Linked DNA regions of Elephas maximus indicus. The protein of the gene in region 2 interacts with the protein of the main gene of each other region in a pairwise test. Links are inferred from orthologs where the notes say so. Each region holds a gene or a part of one and is shown on either strand. Other genes may lie near its edges.

Region 1 (6,881 bases), about 4.9 Mb from region 2:
GGACTAGGCAGCATTTTGTCCTATTGTGCGTGGGGTTGCCATGAGTTGGGGGCCAATTTTACGGCAGCTAACAACAACAAAAGTTGTTTTACTCCCTTTATAAATGAAGATGAAGTTAAGGAGGGGAAAGGTGAAAACCTGCAGGCAGACAACATTGAGAGTCCTTTACGTATAGCTTCAAAATAATCAAACCTCTGGGATAAATTCATCACGGAGCCATACAGTGCTATTAACAGATGTACAGCATTGGTGTCACCTGGGAGCTTGTTAGAAATGCAGGATTATAGGCTCCACCCCAATTTACTGAATCAGAATCTAGGCTTTTAACAAGCTCCCTAGGTGATGCATATGTACGTTAACAGATGAGAAACACTGGTCTAGTGGACCAGTCTGTGCCTGCCACTATGGACCTCCATCAAAAGGGCTCTAAGGACCCCATGGGAACCTCAAACTAGTGATTTTTACCTCTAGTTAGGCAAAACTTGATGTGAGGGTGATCTGGCTGCCACAGTTATCTCCCCTTTGATGGGCAGGGTCGATTTGATTAATCTCCTGGTTAGGTGTGTGGCCTCTCTCCCTCATCACTCTAGGTACAGAGACATTTCTCAGAAGCTGCAAAAGGGTTTGAAAATGACACTTTTTCCTAAGTGTGTAAGACTGTTCTTCAAAAAAGGGTATGGGCGAGCTTATAGAATCTTTGGTAAATGGACACATCCTACTAGGAGTTAGGAAACATGGTTTTCATAATCACTCCCAACCAGAAATGTATATGAACAACATAGAAGACATGAATTGTTTACACTCTCTGTTTTCTAGCTCAATAGATATTTATTAAGCACCCACTATGTGCCAAACAAGGAGATCTGGTAGCATAAATGGTCAAGAGCTCGGCTGCTAACCAAAAGGTTGGTAGTCTGAATCCACCCGGTGGTTCTGTGGGAGAAAGACCTGGCAATCTGCTTGCCTAAAGACTGCAGCCAAGAAAACCCTGTGGAGCAGTTCTACTCTGTAGCACACGGCGTTGCCATAATTCAGAATCTACTCAACAGCAATGAGTTTGGTTTGGATGTGCTAAATACTAATCTATGTGATGAGAATATAGTAGAGAACAAAACCAAGTCCCTGCCTGGGGAGGGTGGAGTTTGCTTTTCGTGGGTGGAGACAGACAAAAAACAAGTACATGATATGGCAGATAGTAAAAAAAAAAGCACTATTTAAAAAAAAAAAAAAACTGAGTAGGTGGAGCCTACTATTTAAGATGGGTGATCAGGGAAGTCTTCTCCAAGGTGAAGACATTTGGGAATACACAGGAATGGAATGAGGGACCAAGCCATTCAGATATCTGGGAAAAGAGAATTCCAAGCAGAGGAAACAGCTAATGCAAAGGCCTTGAAGTAGGCAGTGTTCAAGGGACAGCAAAAATGCCAGTGTGATTAGAACAGATTAAGCAGGGAGGAGAGTTGAATGAGATGAGATTGGAGGTGGGTGGCACCACATCATGTAGTGCATTTAAGGAATTTGGATTTAATACCAACGGTGATGGGAGCCATTACTAGGTTTTGAGCAGAGGAGTGACATGATCTGACCCGTATTTTAAGAGGTTTTCTTTGGGTGCTATGTGGAGGATAAACTACAGTAGAAGCAGGCAGCCTAATAGGAAGCTGCTATAAAGGTTCAAGCAAAGATGTGGTTGGTTTAGGTTTGAGTGGTCGTGGCGGTGGTGGTGAGAAAGGGTCCAGGGATTCTTGACCTTCCTACCAAAGACTATTTAAAAATTTATGCACCAGGATGCTGGGGTGGATTTTTCTTGTCTTGTATTTGAAACTGTCTTAGATGTAGAAGACAATGAATAGAAATAATAAGGGCTTCTCTGGGTTCAACAATGTTAACAGCATCCCCTGAGAATCAGTGTTATGTAACATTTCATAAACGATTAAGAAAAAGGAATACTTTAAGACATGTCTAGGTATACAAATTATACTCTGCTTTCCACATAGCGAAATATCAGGTCAATAGGGAGCTTCTTCTGGAACATTTCTAAAGCCATGTGAGTAGGCTGGAAAGAGGCAGGTGTCTTACCCTGTGGACAAGTGTAAGGGGGCTCACGTAGGGAAAGACAATGCAGATGATATCTTTAAGAGAATGAAATCTGAACTGTCAGTTACCACCAAGGAAAGCAATCTAGAAGTCTCTGTAGATCATTCCTTCAAGACATCAGCTCTTCTAAAGTCTGAAAGACCAGCAAAAGTTCTGGATGTCCAGAGTAAAGGAAAACATCAGCATCAACAAAAGCTCAGGACACACATCTCTGGGCTCAGTGTGCAGTGCTGCTCGCCGCATCCAAAGAAAGAAAAGAGCCCTAGAAAGGCAGCTAAAATGATAAAAAAAAAAAAAAAAGAGGGCCTTTTGTGTGATGAATTAAAAGCCCATAAAGGTGACTATCTGAGAGAAGATAAGATGAAAGTCTGTAAAAGGACCAAAGATTTGGAGAGGGTAAAAATAGCTCCTTTCATACAAGAATCCCTTAATTCTGGAATTAAGAGACAAAAGAAGCTTGAAAATGGGGGTAATGTACTTCTTTGGGGAGGGGGAAGGTCTTTAAGTAAGTTCCAACATGTGCTAGGACATGTAGTAGCAGTAAAATATGGGTGGGGAAGGGACAACCGGTTTGCCTCAAAAGTCTCTACTTTCAAAGAGGCAAAGAACATCTTTGTTGGGGCAAAAACTACTTCTCACTCCCACCCTCTGTAAATCACCATGGTATACAACCACAGAAACTTAAAAAGAGCAAAATATCAAAAAGGCATTTAAAGGATTTAAAAAGCTAATTTTAAATCTCATTCTGAGCCAAAATTAGATTGACAATGAATTTAAGGGTGAAAGATTTACACTAGATTAGTAAGTGAAATCGAAACCCTGGTGGCAGAGTGGTTAAGAGCTTGGCTGCTAACCACACGGTGAGTAGTTTGAATCCACCACCCGCTCCTTGGAAACCTTATGGGGAAGTTCCACTCCGTCCTATAGGGTCTCTGTGATTCGGAATGGACAACGGTTTTTAACCGGTAATAAGAGAAATTAAGTGGGGGAGGGGGAGAGGTACATCCTTAATCTTTGTGATTCACACCGTGGAGAGCTACTATGTTTTAGCAAGAAATAAGACCTGGTAGTTTGAACTGAAGAGCCCTGGTGGCGCCGTGGTTAAGACCTTGGCTGCTAACCTAAAGGTCAGCTGTTGGAACCCACCTGCCACTCTGAACGAGAAGGATGTGGCAGTCCTTCCTTAAAGATTTACAGCCTTAGAAACCCTATGGCTCAGTTCTAGTCTGTCCCATACACTGTTTGTCAGCATCTGGGTTCTTATAGTAAGTTATTGATTGAAACAGGGATTATTAGGTCATTTGAATTTCACCCACAGCACAAGTATTCAATTAACAGAGGCCGGGGATACTCCGTGCAGAACCAGCCGTTACTCACAAGTTGGACAGTTAGCAGCTCTAGGCTATAGAATCTGTATCATCCTCCTTCACAGATTAAAAAAAAAAAAAAGCAGAGCCCAAACCCAACAAGGAAGGGGGAAGGGAATTTGACAGGTGTTTAAAGACGGGCAGCAACCAATACATAGGGCCTTACTTTCAGGTTACAGATTTATGTATACATTATCAAGCTCTCTCTTTCCAAGAAATATTAGATTCAGGATCCCAAGAGGCTTCATCCCCCAAAGAAAAGGGAACCCTTTCTTCCTTCCAATAGGTCCCTTTCTTTACCTGCTTCTCCTGAGGGGTAGGAACTTTCAGCTCCGCCTCCGTGCTCGTCCAAGCTCCGCCTTCCCGGTCCACCTGTGTGCCCGGTCCCTGACGTTGACGTTCGGCTTCAGCAGCTTGCAGGATTTTGGCTTTCGATTGGTTCTCCCGTTTACAGCCTGCATAGCCCACCAATGGCAGCGGCGCTGGGTAAGGGGTTGCCCACTTCCAAGATGGCGCCCCCAAGAGCTGGGAGCGGGTGACCCGCGGCAGGGAAGCGGCCTGGGTTGGCCCTCCGGTTGCGGGGTCCTGGGGGCGTCTCGCCGGCTCCCCCACGGCCCGCCTACAACGCTTTCCCCGGGCCAGAGCAATGGCCTCCGAGAACAGCAAGCAGTTTTGGAAAAGGAACGCCAAGCTGCCGGGGAGGTGAGCCCAGGACGCTGACAGGGAGAGAGGACTGGACCAAACTCCTCCAGATCCTACGGTCTAAATCCCGCGGGCCTGGGGCGTCGCAGATTCCGGATGGCTGGTTTGGAGAATCCCGGTGGGGGAGCGGGGACCGCCTGTGGCTGCAGGGCAGCTGTCAGGAAGAGGAACGGGCGGCAAGCTTTGGGGGACAGCTGTGTGTGGGAGCAGAGCAGAATCTGGGGTCGGAGGTCTCTGGAGAGGCTGTCCTCAGTCAGGAGGTGGCCAGAGACCGGACCTAAGGGGCAGTGGAGTTGGGTGAGTAGCCAGAGTCCGTTCTGGGCTCGGAGGGTTGCTTCTCACTTTAAACAAAACTCCCTCTCGGGGGTCTCCACACAGGTGGTTGCTTGCACGAGGACGGCCCCTTTCCTGGGATAACCCTCAGTTTGACACATACGAATCTTTCACTTGGGTTCTCCAAAGATTCTGTTGGCGCCGCCTTCGGGGGCAAAATTCTCCAACCAGATCTTACTTTATCTTGAGTTGGCCCTTTCCCATTAGGAATTATTACAAGGTGACCCCAAAATCGGGACTATTTCTTTAGAATTTCCCAAGGATTTGGCCAGCCCTAGAGATCTCATCCTCTCCTGTGCTGTAATGCTTGCTTGTACAAATGTACCAAATCCTGTCAATTTCAGTTGCTTAGTTGAAGAGCAGACCTTCTAAGCTACTTTTTTTTTTTTTTTTGGTGTATGTTGAGGCTTTTAGCAATTGCCCATCTATCATCCTGCTGTTGGTTTACAGTCTCAATTTGTTTTGGGCACAGTTCTGAAAGTATAAGGAGGAATGTGTTTTAGTTGTGCATTTAGGATTTCTGCCAGCCACCGTCTGCCTGGTGATGAAATTCATGTTTGGTTGTGCCCACGTGCCACCTTTCCTAGTTGATTTAGCCGTTTCCCTCTGGGATAATCCTTTGAAATTGTGACTTTTAGCAAGAGAGAAATGAAGGTCAGTGGTACCTATATATAAAAAATTTTTTTTTTTTTTATGTATAGCGGACCTATTTTATATAGGATCTTAATAGACCTATGGAGAATAATGCGGGAGCCAGCTTTTTAGTAATACAGTATTAAAATAATACAAGGGAATGCAAAGATAGGTTCAGATTAAAGTGCTGTGGAATTACAGTGTTAATGCTAAAGACCTTTGATGTTTTTAGATTAGCACCACTTCCTGCCAACTGATTCCCTTTTCCTTCCCTGTCTAGTCGTGAGCTCTCCAGCTGTGCCAACTGCCAGTTGTTTGGGGGTTTTCCATAGTGAGATCATTACATTTTGACATCCTAAAATAATAATTAGAATCCATGGGAAAACTGTTAAATCAGGAAGGAATATATGAGATGTGGGACATGGCATGGTTCTTTTGTGCCTACTGACTACTGGTTACTTTTGATGATCTTTTGTTTTCCATGTTTTCTTTACTGGACTCTAGGAACAGTCAACTTTTTGAAAGCACTACTTTTGTGAGATAGGAAGAAGAGTCTTCTTTCAGTTTTTTCAAGTTTCTGGCTTCCCTTTTTGTTTCGGAGAGGAATATGGAGGCATAGAGGAAAGAACATTTAACTGCAAAAAGACCTGGGCTATTGTTTGGGCTCTCTTACTTACCTTTGGGACCAAGGACAAATAATCTATTTAATCTCTCTAGGCCTCAGTTTACTGAGATATCTGTTATCTATGAGATTCAGATAAAAATAGCTTCTTAAGGATTATCATGAGGACTCAATGAAATAGTCTATTTGTAAAGAACCTAGATCAATGTTTATTTAGCACATTATAGTTGTTCAGTAATAGTAATTATTAATATTACTGTTACTAGAGCAAGTAAACATTTAAAATAATATTTCTCACACTAGGTAAATACTAGTTTGTCTTCATTGTTTATTCTTAAGGCATTAAAACGTTGCCACAATTCACGATAGTTTTTGCTACCTCGAATGTTGAAGAGAAACATTGTTCAGCACTGTGATTTTAGCAGGGAAGCCTCAAGAGCCCCTGGTTATGGGAGAAAATTAAGGCTTTTTTAGGAAAGGTGCTTTGTCTTAAGTAAAAATGTTAGGGCATTTTCTCAAGAATAGATTTTTGCACTTGTACTGTTTTGGCCGTAGTGAAGACCAACTTTCTCCTAGGTGGGAAACAGCACAAATGACCGGGTAGTAGTCCGTGCAACCTAGAAGTGAACCGGTTTATTCTTATTTGCAAATTGAAAGTTACAAAATCAAAGTGATGGCAGCTTACTTTCAGTTTCCTGCATCATGACCCAGAGACCTTAATGACAACAAATAGGAATTTTATTTCATAAAAATAACCTAAGTTCAAAATGAATTAAGACCCTTAAAAAAAAAAAAGCTTTATTGAGATAAAATTCACATTTCATAGAATTCACCCTTTTAAAATGTATAATCCAGTGGGGTTTTTTTGTTTTTTGGGGGGCTTTTTTTAGTGTATTCAGAGTTGTGCAGCCGTCGCCACTAACTTCGAACATTTTCATCACCCCAAAAAGAAACCCCAAACTCGTTAGCAGTCTGTCCCCATTCTCTCCTCCCTCCAGCCCATGGTAACCACTAATCTACTTTCTGTTTCTATAAATTTGCCTATTCTGTACATTTCATAGAAATGGGATCTATATAATATGTGGCCTTTTGTGACCGGTTTCTTTTATTAACATAATGTTTTCAAG
Region 2 (7,000 bases):
TCCAGGGTGAAGGTGTTAGGGAGCCTGGTTCTAGCAGTTTCTGGGTATCTACCCCCACTCCCCACCTTGACCCGGAGCCGGTCAAGCACGCCTCTGACGTCTGCACAGGCCGCTGTGCCCCTAGCCTCCTGCTCTCTGACTGCAGCTGCCTTGGCATCCAGCTCCTGCAGCTGCTCCAGGAACCTGGGCTCTGTCACCGGGGCCTCCAGAATTGCCCTGGGTAGCAGGGAGGAGCAAGGTGGGTTAGGTGGGAGACCCAGGCATCCCTAGACTACGCCCAAACCACACCCCTTACACCCAGCCTCTGCCTGCTGTACCTTCTTACACTGTAACATGCAGTCAGGCTGTATGTACAGTTTTCTGCTTCTAGACTCTCCACGTAAGCCTCGAACCTCCTCACTACACATCTGACCCTAGATGACTCCTAATCTTTGATGCCTAAAGCACATATCGCAGTGAGAAAAGACTGTCAATCCAACCACCAACTTCTGGCAGGCGCTTGATGACCAGGACCCAGAAGACCCATGTGGTAAGTCTCTAGCTGCCATAGATGTTGTGACCCTTCAGACTGGCGACTCACGTGACCAGGGCAGAGGGCACCACCAGACCATCAACAAGCTCCCCAAGTTTCCCCCGAACTGCCTGGCGGTTTCGAAGACGAATGTTCATAGCTCCTGACTGTTCCTGCAGTGTCCGGATCTCAGAGCTGATGGAGCTGAGGTCACTCTGGAAAGCTCCCAACATCTGCTCCATGCGCTGGGGAGAGAGTAAATGCTGCTGGAGCACCAAAGGGTTGGTAGGGGACAAGTGGGCCATTTAATTCTCTTGGTGAAATCTCTAGTATCTATCAGTTTGTGAGGGTGGGGGGTGATGAGGGGAGAAGTATCCCAAAGGTCACCGTTCGGAAAGAATATCAGCTATGGAAATGACCATGAAAAAGGATGCTGAGGTCATCCTGAAAATGACTCTAACCTGTTTCCACCTAAGGTCAATGACTAAAAATGGCACCAAAAGTCTTGGACCAGTTCATGCTTGTTATGGGTCACAGGCCATGGTTACTAACCTCAAGGACAGCATCACAGGCTGTGATCTGGTTGTGCAGAGATGCTATATTTTCGCTCTCTTGGATATCTGACCCACAAAAAGTCAAGGGGCCTCATGCTGAATATGGAGATTCTCAGACCTGCAGAACCTCTCTGATTTCTCCCTGAGATGACAGAAACCTCAGGGAAATCTCAGCCCTAGCTGGGCTGCCTGCACCATACCCGACAAAATCCCTGTCAATAACACCACTCCTGCCCTCTGGTGGAGGATACAATCTCGAATGGACTTCTGTTCAATCTGCTGTAGCTCCAGCTCAACCTGCTTTGAATAGTGACGGAGGTCCACACCCTAGGAAGACATATAAAGTGACAGGTCAGGACTAAGTTGCAACAAAGAATCACTGGAACAGAATCAACAAAGGGCTAGAGAGTGGGACACCACGGTCATGTCATGAGAATAGAAGACTGTTTTTCTTTTCTTTGGGGGGAGGGGAGATGAGGGAGCAGATTAGTACAGTGGAAAGCCTCACCGTTTTAAGAGCTTCCTTTACTAACTCATCCTCCAGATTTGCCTGAATGTGAACTGGAAATAGAAAGTTATCATAAGAGCCCGGATCTACAGCTCTCACCCCCCACACTAAGTATCTGCACACCAGTCTCTGTGTTACTCCTTCTGGCACCTGCTGCACCTTAGATTACAGGCACTCTAACTTCCAGCTCTGCAGAGGCCCCATGCCATCACTTACCATCCACTTCATCCAGGATGAATTCATCAGAAGTGATGTCCAACTCCCCAAGTTGCAGTGGCTCCTGGAGCCCAGTACCACTCCCCTGGGAAGGGAAAAATTACCGAGAGAGGGGTACGAGGAGGAGGAAAAGAACAAAATACAATAGGACGTCCTCAATCTTCCAAGTGGGAGAGAGGTTCTTTTACTGGGGAGTAGTAAGTGCTGAGTCAAAAACCTCCGAGAGTCTCACTCTGTACCCCACCTACTATTTAGGATTTATGGACAGGACATATGGCAAAGGAAGCATGTAATCCATGAAGAGGGAGGAGGTCTCTGAGGAAGATGAGAAGCTGCAAAAATTGGGCAGATCTTGCAGCTGACTTTAGGAGTCCTAGACTCCTGCTATTTCACATGTCGTATCACCATCTTTCTGGGGAGTCCGAGCCTTTCTAGAAAAGTCAGCTAAAACTTAAACACTGTTTAAGTGCATGTCAGGGACCGTTTTACATATATTCATTCACGTAATCCTCACAATCTAATACGACAGATACTATTATTTTCGTCATCTCATAGAAAAAGCTGGTTAACTTGCCCAAAGACAGTGTGTAGGTGGCAGAGCTGGAATTCGAACCCAGGCTGTGTGGCTCCAGAGGCTTCTCTGTTCTGCCCCAAATCGGGAGGAGTTGAAATTGTGCCCCTGGAAACTGAGTCATGGCTACTCTGGTTTTCGTTCAGGTTCAGGTCCGATCCCAGGAAGCCAAACAGGTAGCGTTACCGATAGCAGCCGAGCTCCCACCCTTTTGTGCCTACACCCAGCCCGGGACTTCCTGACGCTAGGAGGCCCGGATGGAGCTCCGGAGAGGAAAACAGCCCGGCGCTCTCACCAGCGGGCCCTCCTCCTCTTCCATATCCGAGGCGCCGGCTCGCAACACCAGCTCCCGAGCTGCTGCCGCCATGGTCGCAACTGCGGCCATTAGGCGCAGCCTCACTTCCGGCAGCTGTCAGTCCGGGCAAGTCCGTTCCAGAGAGCCTTGCACAACGCAAACCCGTTCGCAGATAAATGAGTTAAACTGTCTAACTCCTTTCAATTGTAACCGCTTCACCTAAGCACAAACGAGAGTGCGGAAGTCTCACATACAGCCTCGTCCCGGAATCTTCGCTGTTGCCACACCCATGAACTTTACGGACAGTAAAGAGCAGACACCACCGGAAGTTGTGGCGTCCAAGTCAGCTCCTCAGAAGTCTAGTCAGTTTGGGGTGAAGCCGTTTCAGGAAGCGCTTCTTCCAGATGGCTCCGCCCCTTCCACCAGAGAGCTATATAAGTATTTGGCGTCACTTCCGCTCTCTCTTCCACCGGAGGCCTACACGCCGCCGAAGCTACCGCCGCCATGGTAAGTCTAGAGTCCGGGTCGGGATCTGGCTGCATCGGAACCGGGGCAGGGAACGTCTGCTTTCAGAGGGCCAAAAACGCCCTATCCTAGGGGCCTGCAACTTTCTGTGTGGAGCCTTGCATTACACCCCTGAGAATGGATGACCAAAGACTTCCAATTCCGGGAAACGGGACCCGGGAAAGGGTCACTCCCTGGAGGCACGAAAGCGGGGAGAGGTTTAGGCGTGTGCGGGGATCTCCGGCAGCTTCTACGCAGAATATGCTTTTGGGAGTCGGCAGGGGACCTGTCCCCTTTCCGGAAGTTGCATATCCCTAGGCCTGAACGGTTCATGATTCTGCTGTCTGCAGGAATGAGGAGTTTGCGGTGATGTGAAAACGTGGAGTGGGTCATTGCTCCCTATGTGACAAACTTAGCGTTCCTGTTTGAGGTGGTTCGTTCGTCTTACGGTTTGACGGTAGTTCACAGTGTCTGATCCCCCCCCCCATCTCTTTCAATCAGTCTCTGGTGATCCCCGAGAAGTTCCAGCACATTTTGCGAGTACTCAACACTAACATCGATGGGCGGCGGAAGATAGCCTTTGCCATCACTGCCATTAAGGTAAAGTAAAGATTATAAATGAGATTTGGGTTGTTAAGAGCTAAATTATAAATGAGCAAGGTCGAGTAGGCAACCAGATCACGTTGGCTGCTGGGTTTAAAAAAAAAAAAAAGCTAAGGGGAGTGATTAATCCCTTAACCACATTTACCACAAAAGGTGAGTAATAAAAGCCAGAGAAGGGTCTAAGGTCAAGCCAAAACGTTTCACTAGAGTGAAAAGGCTGGGTATGGTTGTCGACCGGAATTTGCTAAAGTTATTTAAAGCTGTTTTCTGAACCTTCAGTTTGAGATTTCTGTCTCCACTACATCATAACAACAGCCCTTCCTGTTAAATTTATACACCCTGAAAACCTTATAATTCTTACACATCTTGAATGAGTAGCTGTGCCAACAGATTGCAAGTGTCAAAGAATATATCCATGGGACAGGGTCATCACTAGGTCCTGAGCAGGATATTTACTCAGTTGTCGGAGGTGAAAGTCAGTGTTCTTTCCAGCTGAAAAGGGAACCCCAGTATATTTTGGTTTGGGCTTGTTGAAAGAATTAAATGCAGGTTTGGATATCTACTTTCATCCAGCCTTCTGGCTGGGGACATTCTATCGTTTATAGAATAATTACTTGTACAAATAGCTGAATGTGTTTCTTGCCCTGCAGTACCCATAACTCAGAGGGAACAGGGCCAAGCCAGTCTTGTTTACAGTCCTCTACTTCTGGTGTATTGTTGAGGCTTATTCAGTGTTAGGGAATGGATGGTACTGGGGATACCTTACCCCCGCCTCCGGTGACAGAGGGGGTGTCCCGACTGGTCCTGACGACCATCGAGTTTGTCAAATTTCCTTGATTTTTTTTCACTCTCATACAGAGAGCAGCTTTTACTTGTTCTCAATTGAATACCAGACCCACTGCCCTCAAGTCTATCCCGACTCAGCAATCCATAGGGTTTCCAAGGCTGTAAATGTCTAAGGAACCAAACTGCCACATTTTTTTCCCACTGAGTGGCTGGTGGGGTCAAACTGCCAGCCTTTTGCTTCACAGCCAAGCAGCTTAACCACTCTTTTTTAACAGAGCTGCTTCAGTTGAATACAGAAGAAGCTTAAAGCTTCTGTTTGATATTCTCTGAAAATGTAAGATACCCTAAAGATTGAATACTTACTGCAAAGCCTTGCTGTGAGCCATAAGCGAGTTTGTGAATATAAAAGCGGAGCATGGTTAGTAGGGTGCTTCTTCACTCTCTGCATCTTTGCAGTTGATTTGTTAAATGTGTGTCATAATCTTTGTAGTCGAATTAGATTTCATGGACAATTGTTCAGCCATTTTCAGATATTTAGCATGTGAAGAGAAGTCTCACAGGGGGATGGGATCCTGGTGCCCTGCTATCATTGGGAAGGGCTGTTCCTTAGAGATCTCTGGGTACTGAAGTTTTTGTTAGCAGAGAGCCAGGAAAGGCAGCTACCTCTTGGTGACAGACCTAAAGCTTGGAGGTGGTCCTTTATTAAGAACGAGGGATTGGGGGTAATTCTAGGAAATTGGGAGAAGATTAAAGAGGAAAAAGGGAGGCTGAGTATGGGGAGGGGTTCCTCAAAAACGTGGTTAGCCCCAGAATGGTGAAGAATGAAAGTTAACATAAGAAAAGGGTATATACTGACAGGTAGCAGATCTACTGTGGGGCATTTGGTGGTTTAGTAGTAGAAATTTTGACTTCCATATGGGAGACCTGGGTTTGATTCTTGGCCAGTGCACCTCGAGCAGCTACCACCCCTCGCCTGTCAGTGAAGGCCTGCATGTTGCTGTGATGCTAGGCATGCTTCAGTGGAGCTTCCAGACTAAGATGGACTAGGAAGACAGACCTGGAGATCTACTTTCCACTGCTCTGCCAATGAATACCCTGTAGATCACAACGGTCTAATCCACAACCAGTCACAGGGAGGGTGCAGGACTGGGCAACATTTCATTCCTTTGTGTGTGAAGTCACCATGAGTTGGGGGGCCAGCTAACAGCAGCTAACAATATAGATCTGCAGGAAACCCTGGTGGCGTAGTGGTTAAGTGCTACGGCTCCTAACCAAAGGGTCAGCAGTTCACATCCGCCAGGTGCTCCTTGGAAACTATGGGGCAGTTCTACTCTGTTCTGTAGGGTTGCTATGAGTCAGAATCGACTTGACAGCACTGTTTTTGGTTTTGGTTTAGTTCCTGGGTGGTACAAATGGTTAAGGGCTTGGCTGCTTACTGAAAGATTGGAGGTTCAAGTTCACCCAGCCAGCATCATCAGAAGAAAGGCCTGGCGATCTACTTCTGAAAAATCAGCCATTGAAAACTCTATAGCACACGGTTCTACTTTGACACATGGGGTGGCCATGGATCTGAGCCATCTCAGTGGCAGTTGGTGAAACATACACGTATGCGTGTATCCTGCAAAGCTTTTCTGTGCTGTGATTTTTTCCCCTCATTGTTTTGTTGCCACTTTCAGTTTTTTGCTGTATTTTTTAAGGCTAGTGTTCTGCCCTCTTCTACATCAGGATTATAGCTGCCATCCAGGAAGTATTTGGAAACTTGGAGGGGTTAGAGTTGACTTGAAGGTCCCCATGGGTCTTGTTCACAAGGAACTCTTGTCCCACCAAGATGCCAGTTGTCCTGGAACACTTTCAGAGTCTTCAGTGTTTATTTTTAAATGCAGGTATGAGGCACACTAACAACTTTTCTGTCCAGTGTAGAAATAGATTCTAAATTAAATACCAAAAAACCAAACCCACTGCTGTTGAATCGATTCTGACTCATAGTGACCCTATAGGACAGAGTAGAACTGCCCCATTGAGTTTCCAAGGAGTGCGTGGTGGATTTGAACTGCCAACCGTTTGGTTAGCAGTCGTAGCACTTAACCACTATGCCACCAGGGTTTCCAAGTTAATACGGACTACTAAATTAGTTGATCAAATAATTTCAGACTTGAGTCCTTGGAAAACCACCTTTTTGTATCCAAGTGCTGGCTGTGTCCTTAAAGAGGGTAAGTGTAATGATTAAGTTGGCTATCAACTGTTACATAGTCCAGGCCCTTAGGAGAAAGTGATGGTCACTGCAGTGTACTTTTGTGGATAGAGGAGGCCTGAAGAGAACAGCGATCTTGGGGCAGAGAAAAGGGGACCTAACCTCTTGGCAGGCTAGCATCTAGAGTCAGTAAACAGAGCCTTCAAGATCTTTGCTCGACAGCAACTTCTCAGGAGCATGGTTATGGAAAAATTTAAAGAT
Region 3 (7,732 bases), on a different chromosome or scaffold from region 2:
TGTTAATAATGGGGAGGAATAACTCAGAAAAGGAGGGTGAGGATGGTTGTACAATTCAAAGAATGTAATTAATGTCACTGAATTGTACATGTAGAAATGGTTTAAGTGGTATATGTTTTACTGTGTATATTCTCAACAACAAAATAAAAAGAATTGAAATAAAATTCACATACCATAAGATTTACCCTTTTAAAATGTAAATTTCTATGGTTTTTAGTATATTCAGAGTTGTGCACACATCGCCTCTATCTTAGAACATTTTCATCACCCCAAAAAGAAACCCCATACCCATTAGAAGTCACTCTCCACTACTCCTTCGTCCAACCCTTAGCAATCACTGATCTACTGTCTGTCTCAATGGATTTGCCTATTCCGAACATTTCACAAAAATGGAATCATACAATAATGTGGCCTTTTGTGTCTGGCTTCGTTCCCTTAGCATATCGTTTTAAAGGTTCATACGTATCGTAGCAAGTATCAGCATTTTGTTTCTTTTTATTTGCTGAATAATATTCCATTATATGGGTATATCACATTTTGTTTATCCATTTATCAGCTGATGAACATTTTGGGGGTTGTTTTTACTTTTTGGCTATTACGAATAATTCTGATTCCCAGGGAGCTCTTTAACAGCTACTACTGATTAAGGAGCTGACCCATATAGAGATGTGTCTATGACCAAGCAAGAGGTTCCTGGGGATTTCTGCCCTTACCCCTCATCAAAGTACCCTCAATCCAGAAGCAAAAGAAATATCTAGAACCATATGGTCCTCGACAGCTTACACATACCTTCATGAGCTGGTTTACCTCTCATCTCTTACCGCCCCTTCTATGCCAGCCATTGTCTTTGCAACAATACCCATATCCACGTCCTGATCCATTAACACCCACTCATCCTTCAGGTCTCGGGCATCACTTCCTCCCAGAAGCTCCTCCTCTCCTCACAGTTTGGGTTAAACATGTACCTCTATGCTTCTGTAACTCCCAGTACTTACCACTATCTTAAACCCAAACAAAACCCAGTGCCATCGAGTTGATACTGACTCATAGCGACCCTGCAGAACTGCCCCATAGAGTTTCCAAGGAGCTCCTGGTGGATTTGAACCGCCAACCCTTTGGTTAGCAGCCGTAGTACTTAACCACTACACCACCAGGGTTTCCCCACTATCTTAGGACATACCATAATTTAATCGACTGATTGTCTATCTGTTCTACTGGGCTGAGAACTCCTAGAAACTAGAATTGAGTCTGGTTCATTGATATGTTCCCAGCACCTTATGCCTGGCATCCCATAGGTGCTCGATATGTGTACTTTGAACAAATGATGGTCCCCAATTTGATGGTTTCCTATTAGTCCACGGCATAAACTCTGTACACTGGAACCTTCAAGGAATGGCCACATGTGCCTTGTTTCTCCTGTCCTCAACAGTCTGTAACTCTGAGACAGAAGGTCTAACAATTAGCATAGATCAGAACTTGGAGACATGCTACTCCTGGGCACAGAGAGACCAGTGCATAGCAGAACAAAGTGGTGGCTGAAGGCTCTGGCCTTGGGGTCAGGCAGACTGGGATTAGAATCCCAGCTTTTCCGTTTACTAGTTGTGACTATGGGCAATTTGCTTGAGCCTCAGTTTCTGCACTTACCAAATGGGATTGACTGAGGTTAAGCCACAGAGGTGTTAAAAAGGTTTTATGAGGTAATGTATGTAAAACCCTTAGCTCTGACACCTACTAAGTTTAGAATACAGCTCTTTGTAGCTTTTTCCCATAAGAAGCCCTGGTGGTGCAACAGGTATCGCTCATTTGCTAATCGAAAGCTGGCAGTTCAAATCCACCCAGCAGCTCTACAGGAGAAAGACCTGGTGATAAGACCTGGTGATCTGCTTCTGGTGATCTGCTCCTATAAAGATTACAGCCTAGAAAACCCTATGGGGCAGTCCTACTCTGTCACATGGGCTCACTAGGAGGCAAAATCAACTCGATGGCACACAACAAGCTTTTTACCGAATAAAAAAAGAAAGAAAGGAAAATACAAAGTGCTAACAAGCTTCCTCCGCTCTTTTTCTGTTCAGATTTTGTACCTCTACTAAGCTCACCACTGTCAGGCCTAGCCTCTGCCGAGAAATATCAGAAAATGGCTTTTTGACAGAGGTCCCACTGCAACAGAGGGAAAGGGGGGAAGGCTGAGACACCTCCAAGTGCCGTGCTCGCAAGAGAAAAACACCCTTCTGACAGAGTCATCCTTCTAACAGATTCATCTCTTATGAAACACCCAGTTTTAAAATCTACCGAGCTCCTTACAGCCTCTCCCCTAGCTTGTCCAGGACGGTGTCACCGGCAGCCAGCTGCTTGCGCCTCAGCTGCTCCTCTAGGTCTGGGAAGGCGCGAAGTGGCGGCACGTCGTCAAACCGCACGTTCCGGGCCGCCTGCAGCTGCTCGGCCAGGTTGCTGAGGGAGGCCACGAGGGGCTGGCAGTCGCTCAGCGTGCTCCGCCACAGGCCCTGCTGCTCCTCCACCGCGGGGAAGCACTGCCGCAGGGCCTCCCGCACCGCAAGCAAAGGCCGGTCCTGAGTCATCGTCTGTGCAAACCAACAGAAGCAGCGTTAGGTCCCAGGTCGGTCGGGAGTTACGTCCGTCCTCGTGTCAGGACACGTTCTCAGCCTCCGCCCTCAAGCCCGCTTCCTCAGGTAAGGCTGTCCATTCCTTCAGGCAGGAGTTCCTGTCGCGAGGTGTCGTCTTACCTCCGGAAGCGGCTCTCTGAAGGAAGCCCCCTGTGGCCCACCTCAGGAAGCGTTTCCGACTGTTCCTCAGAGGAGGTTTCTCCAGGGATAGGGCGGTCTCCTATTTCAGACTGCGGATTCCCGGGGCCGAGGCTCTGTCTCGCTCTCCAGACTCGTGCTACTGGAGCCGGAATCCTGTCTCTGCTTCTTGAGGCTGCTCACCGCTTTCCCTAAATCAGAGGTCAAATTTACCGTCACCGCAACGAAACATCGATGACACGCGGATCTCTGTGCGCATGCCCAAAAGCGATTCCTCGTCCCCACCCCGCCCACCCGCTCGTAAAGCGCAACCTCAGGCCAAGGCGGCCCCTGCGCTGAGGAAATACGTCATTCAGCCGCAATGACTTCTGGGTGTTGTAGTTCTACGTGTGGACTGGCTGCTTGATTGTAGTGCTTCCTAATGATTGGATGTTGTGGGACCTTTTTAAGACGGCGACTTCTCATTCGCCAGCCTGGAGCAGTTAAGTTTGAATTTGGTGGCGGCGGTCGCATGTCCGGTTAGCCCCAGAGCAGATTTCCTCGCTGGTGGAGCGGAGAGGTTTTTCCTCGCTCTTGTTTTGGGACCTGCAGGTATGTGACTCGCGCCTTCTTTATGCCCAGACCCTGAAGGAGGGGAGTTCCCTACTGGCCCTTCTGGGTCCTTGTCCACCTTCCCCTATTCCTTTGCGGTTTCCTTAGTTTCCCTTCCTCCCTGACCCTTTGTCATTCGGTCTCCCCCGTCCCCACAGCCTCCACCGAAGCACCATGGCTCCGGCTAGGAAGGGCAGCAGTCGGTCGACTAAGACCAATTCGTTGCGGAGCCGGAAGCTCGCCTCCTTTCTCAAGGACTTCGACCGTGAAGGTAAGGGGCGGGGCCCGGGTCGTGGCACCTACCTGGAACCATCGCTGGGTCCCGGCGGGTTGAGACGCAGAGAGCACGGATTCTAAGCCTCATGCATCCGCCGGGTGACCCGCGTCCTGTCGGCTCTGCCTTTTCACAGTGCAAATCCGATACAAGCAAATTCAGTCAGACAGGCAGAACCTCCTCAAGGAGATGGATAACCTGTACAACATCGAGATCCTGCGGCTCCCCAAGGCACTGCGCGAGATGAACTGGCTCGACTACTTCGGTAGGTGCTGCTAGAGTTTCCCGCAGGCCTCGGTCTGGGACCCCTCGGTGGTACAGACTGCACACTGCCTTCAGAAGGAACCTGCTCAGATGTCACCTTTTTAGTGAGGTCTTCCATGACCACTGTTGAAAATTGCCGCCCCACTTCCATCTCCTCTCCTTGGTTTATCCTCTTCCATAGCATTTATCATCATCTGATGCTGGGGTTTTTTTCTGGGTAATGCTGGGTAGGCTAACTTTGTCTATAAAGGCCTAGGTAGTAAATATTTTAGGTTTTACGGGTCAGAGGGTTTCTCTTATAACTACTCAACTCTGCTCTTATAGCTCCAAAACAGCTATAACAAATGGGCATGGCTGTATTCCAGTAAAACTTCATTTATGGACACAAAACTTGAACTTCACATGTCACGAAATACTCCTTTGGTACTATTTCCAACTGCTTAAAAATGTAAAAAAAACGTTCTGAGCTCACAGACCATACCAAAGCAGGTGGGAACAGTTTGCTGATTCCGGATCTAATCTAATACATATTTTACCTATTTTGTTGATTACATATCCTTTTATCCACAACCAAGATTGTAAGCTGCACAATGACAGGGCAGGAAATTTATCTGTAGCCAGAAAGGTATCTGATAGGTACTAAGTACTCAGTAAACTTTATTAAATGAATGCATGAACAGCTTGGTTTGTTACCAGAGCTCAGATGGAAGGGTGAGCCCTAGGGAGTTTTTTCTGCAGCTTATAAAAATTGCCTGTTTGAAAATGGGCAAATCAAATTGTGATGTGTAAAGATACAAGAGTTTTCCTGGCCAGAGAAAGAAAAATCCTAGTCTGTTCTCCCGCCACCTTGTTAAAGATTCAAGGAAATGCAGGTAGGCACCCTTTCTGCTGCATTAACCAACTTTTCCACTTTCTTTTATTAGTTACCCAGGCTATAGCCTCCTTCCTGGATAGAAAGGCATGTTCTGTTTACAGTAGCCAGTTGCCATCAAGTCAGTACTGACTCATGGTAACCCCACAGGTGTCAGAGTAGAACTGTGCTTTGTAGAGTTTTCAGTTGTTGTTGTTGTTTTTTTTGGAATTAGATCACCAGGCCTTTCTTCCAAGGCACCTTTGGGTGAACTCAAACTTCCAACCTTTTGGTTAGCAGCCAAGCACATTAACTGTTTGCACTACCCAAGGATTCCTCTGTTACAATAGCAGACATTGAATAATCTTTTCAAAGTTGCCCTTTTATTTATTCATTCATTCATTTGCTCGTTTCTACAAGTGTTCATTGATCATTTGTCAGTCACAATGCTAGGTGCTGAAGATGCATTGACAAATTCAGACATTGTGCCTCAGGAACTTACAGGTTAGTGTAGAAGGGTGATTAAAAACTTTACACATGATTTTATACTTAGTTATAAGTGCTATAAGAGCAGAGTAGCCACCAGTAAGCTCATTTATGTAGTGCTTTGTATGCTTTACATATGTTAATTAATTTTATCCCCATAACAAGCTTATTGTCAATATTATCTCTATTTTATAGATGACAAGATTAAGGCACAGAGAAGGTAGTTACTTTGCTCAAGGTCTCATAAGCTAATTAGTGGCAAAGTCTATTTGAACCCAGATAAAATTCTGTTTCCAAAGCCACAGTTCCTGGCTGTTATACAGAATACTGTGAGAGTTTCTAGCGTGAGAACCTCACCTAACTTTAATTCTACATCTGAATCTTTCAAAGACCTCTTCATTCAACAAACACTTACTACCCAACTACCAGATGCCAGATTTTTGCCAGAAGCTATGGATATTATTGTTATTCTCAAGGAATTCACAGCGAAGGCAAGGGTGGACACTTAAACAGCTCTGAGTAGTTGTAGGGTAGGAAGAGGGTGAGTAACTAACTCAGTACTTTGCAGCAACCTACTGTGAGGGAAAAATAAACAGTTTGGGGGTCAAGGCAAACCTGAGTTCAAATTCTAGCTCTTTCATATTCCAGCTGTGTGATCTTCCTCAAGTTACTCAATCATGTTAATCTCTCTGGTCTTGGTTTCCCTATCTGTAGAGTAAGGGTTGTGAGGGTTGAGACGTGGTGAGTGGAATGCTTGATACATAGCAGGGCCCATTGTTGAGGAGGTGGCTTTTGAGAAGAGTTTTGAAGGATGAATTAGGAGTTTATTGAATGCAGAGAAGTATTCCAGGCAGAGATAATAAGTATTAGGGCACTTAGTCCTGAAAGGCGGGGGCACATCTGGGGAAAGGTGAGAAGTTTGGTGTGGTGGAACATAGAGTAGGTCATGCGTAAGAGTCAAGGCTGGAGAAAGACTAGATTGTGAAGGCCCTGGAATGTTGGACCAAGGGTTTAATCTGGTCCAGTTTTAGACAGATAACTGATAGTGTAGGGAAGATGAGTTATTGTCAAAATCTGTAATAACTAAATAACATGTTCTTTTTAAAGCCCTTGGAGGAAACAAGCAGGCCCTGGAAGAGGCAGCAACAGTAAGTGATCTGTCCTGTTTTTGAACTGTTGGTTAGTTCTTTAGTCCAGTCACAGAATCCAACCAGTGAGTGGTTACTGTGGAAGAGGTTCCATAGGGAACATGATCTGCTCATGTCGTGACACAAAACTACAAATCAGAGCTTCTGATATAATATAGCCAATGTTATTACACCAGGTTGAGAGAAGTCTAGTCTTAAAACCCAGGGGAAGGATGAGACTTGGGTATGGAAGCTCTTAATTGGTAGGTGTGTCAGGAGTCCCAAGACTACCCTCAGGTCTGGTGATTTATTGGGATTTACAGGGCTCAGCATATAGTCATACTTAGGGCTATGATCTGTTACAGCGAAATGACACAAAGTAAAATCAGCAAAGGGAAAAGGTACATGTGGCAGAGTCTAGAGGAAATCAGGTGCAAGCTTTCTAGAGTCCTCTCCCAGTGGAGTCACACAGGACACATTTAGTTTCTCTAATAACAAGTTGTAGCAACACATGTGAAATGCTTTCTACCAGGGAATCTCTTTAGAGACTTAACGACCAGGGTTTTTATCAAGGACTGGTCACATAGGCACCCTCTGGCTAGCGTGTACCAAAATTCTAGACTCCTAGAAGGAAAGCAGGTGCTCAGGATAAGCCATGTTGTCTGTACAAAGAGTTTGGGTACAATGACCCGTTATCATTAGGGAATGTTGAGAACCCTCCCAAAATTCAAGTTCCCAGATGCCAGCCAAGGGCCATCTTTGCAAGCAGACCTTTCTAAGCATAGTGGTCTCAGGTCTGCTGTGTTCACTCATTTAGGCACTGTGAGTGATTGGTGGCCTGCCACCAGTGATACCTTCATTGCATGTCAGTTGTTTATAGAGACAGCAGAAATTTGGCAGGGATACCACCTCTCTCGCTTCCCTTAACAATCACAATCTATTACAGCACTGTTTCTTGCTAAGCCCACATGGCTTCCCTTAACTATCACAATCTATTACAGCACTGTTTCTTGCTAAGCCCACATGGCCTCAGAATCCTCAGAGCTGTGCATGTAGTCCCTGCCACGCCAGAGATGAAAACCTGTGTCATTCCTAGTCTAACACCTGTTCTGATGTCTGCTTCTGGCAATACCCATACATAGAGGTGGTAGCCACCACTGTGAACAAGTTTAGTTAGAATGGCCACTGAAAGCCCTTTGAAGGACCCAGGAGTGTGATAGAACCGTTATGGAGACCTCTCGACTCATAAAGAACATGAAGTCTGACACAGGACCAAGTGCTGGAGAGGATGCGGATCATTAGAAACTTGTATTGGTTGCCAACAGTATGTAAATAAGTGCAACCACTTTAGAAAACAATTTGGCATAATATCAAGGCTGAA

Evidence for each region. The genes of interacting proteins can lie anywhere in the genome.
Region 1: the proteins of VPS52 (region 2) and TBC1D22B interact in binary tests that used the Homo sapiens proteins (3 or more experiments, as listed by UniProt). The link is inferred for Elephas maximus indicus from reciprocal best matches to the Homo sapiens genes VPS52 and TBC1D22B.
Region 3: the proteins of VPS52 (region 2) and C3H1orf109 interact in binary tests that used the Homo sapiens proteins (3 or more experiments, as listed by UniProt). The two-hybrid records come from large-scale screens. The link is inferred for Elephas maximus indicus from reciprocal best matches to the Homo sapiens genes VPS52 and AIRIM.

Annotation. Positions count from the first base shown.
Region 1 is NC_064819.1:100,951,502-100,958,382, forward strand, and holds the start of TBC1D22B (TBC1 domain family member 22B), read left to right. Parts: upstream 1-3,874; 5' UTR 3,875-4,110; coding exon 4,111-4,166; intron 4,167-6,881. UniProt on the Homo sapiens protein: May act as a GTPase-activating protein for Rab family protein(s).
Region 2 is NC_064819.1:96,065,600-96,072,599, forward strand, and holds the start of VPS52 (vacuolar protein sorting-associated protein 52 homolog), read right to left. Parts: upstream 3,005-7,000; 5' UTR 2,746-3,004; coding exon 2,656-2,745; intron 2,537-2,655; exon of another isoform or gene 2,364-2,536; intron 1,875-2,363; coding exon 1,790-1,874; intron 1,627-1,789; coding exon 1,574-1,626; intron 1,393-1,573; coding exon 1,317-1,392; intron 1,132-1,316; coding exon 1,064-1,131; intron 757-1,063; coding exon 581-756; intron 217-580; coding exon 66-216; intron 1-65. Other genes in the region: RPS18 (40S ribosomal protein S18), read left to right, coding at 3,160-3,162, 3,661-3,759. UniProt on the Homo sapiens protein: Acts as a component of the GARP complex that is involved in retrograde transport from early and late endosomes to the trans-Golgi network (TGN).
Region 3 is NC_064821.1:79,284,632-79,292,363, forward strand, and holds the start of C3H1orf109 (ribosome biogenesis protein C1orf109 homolog), read right to left. Parts: upstream 3,008-7,732; 5' UTR 2,742-3,007; exon of another isoform or gene 2,580-2,741; 5' UTR 2,577-2,579; coding exon 2,302-2,576; intron 1-2,301. Other genes in the region: CDCA8 (borealin), read left to right, coding at 3,525-3,621, 3,761-3,889, 6,332-6,372. UniProt on the Homo sapiens protein: Part of the 55LCC heterohexameric ATPase complex which is chromatin-associated and promotes replisome proteostasis to maintain replication fork progression and genome stability.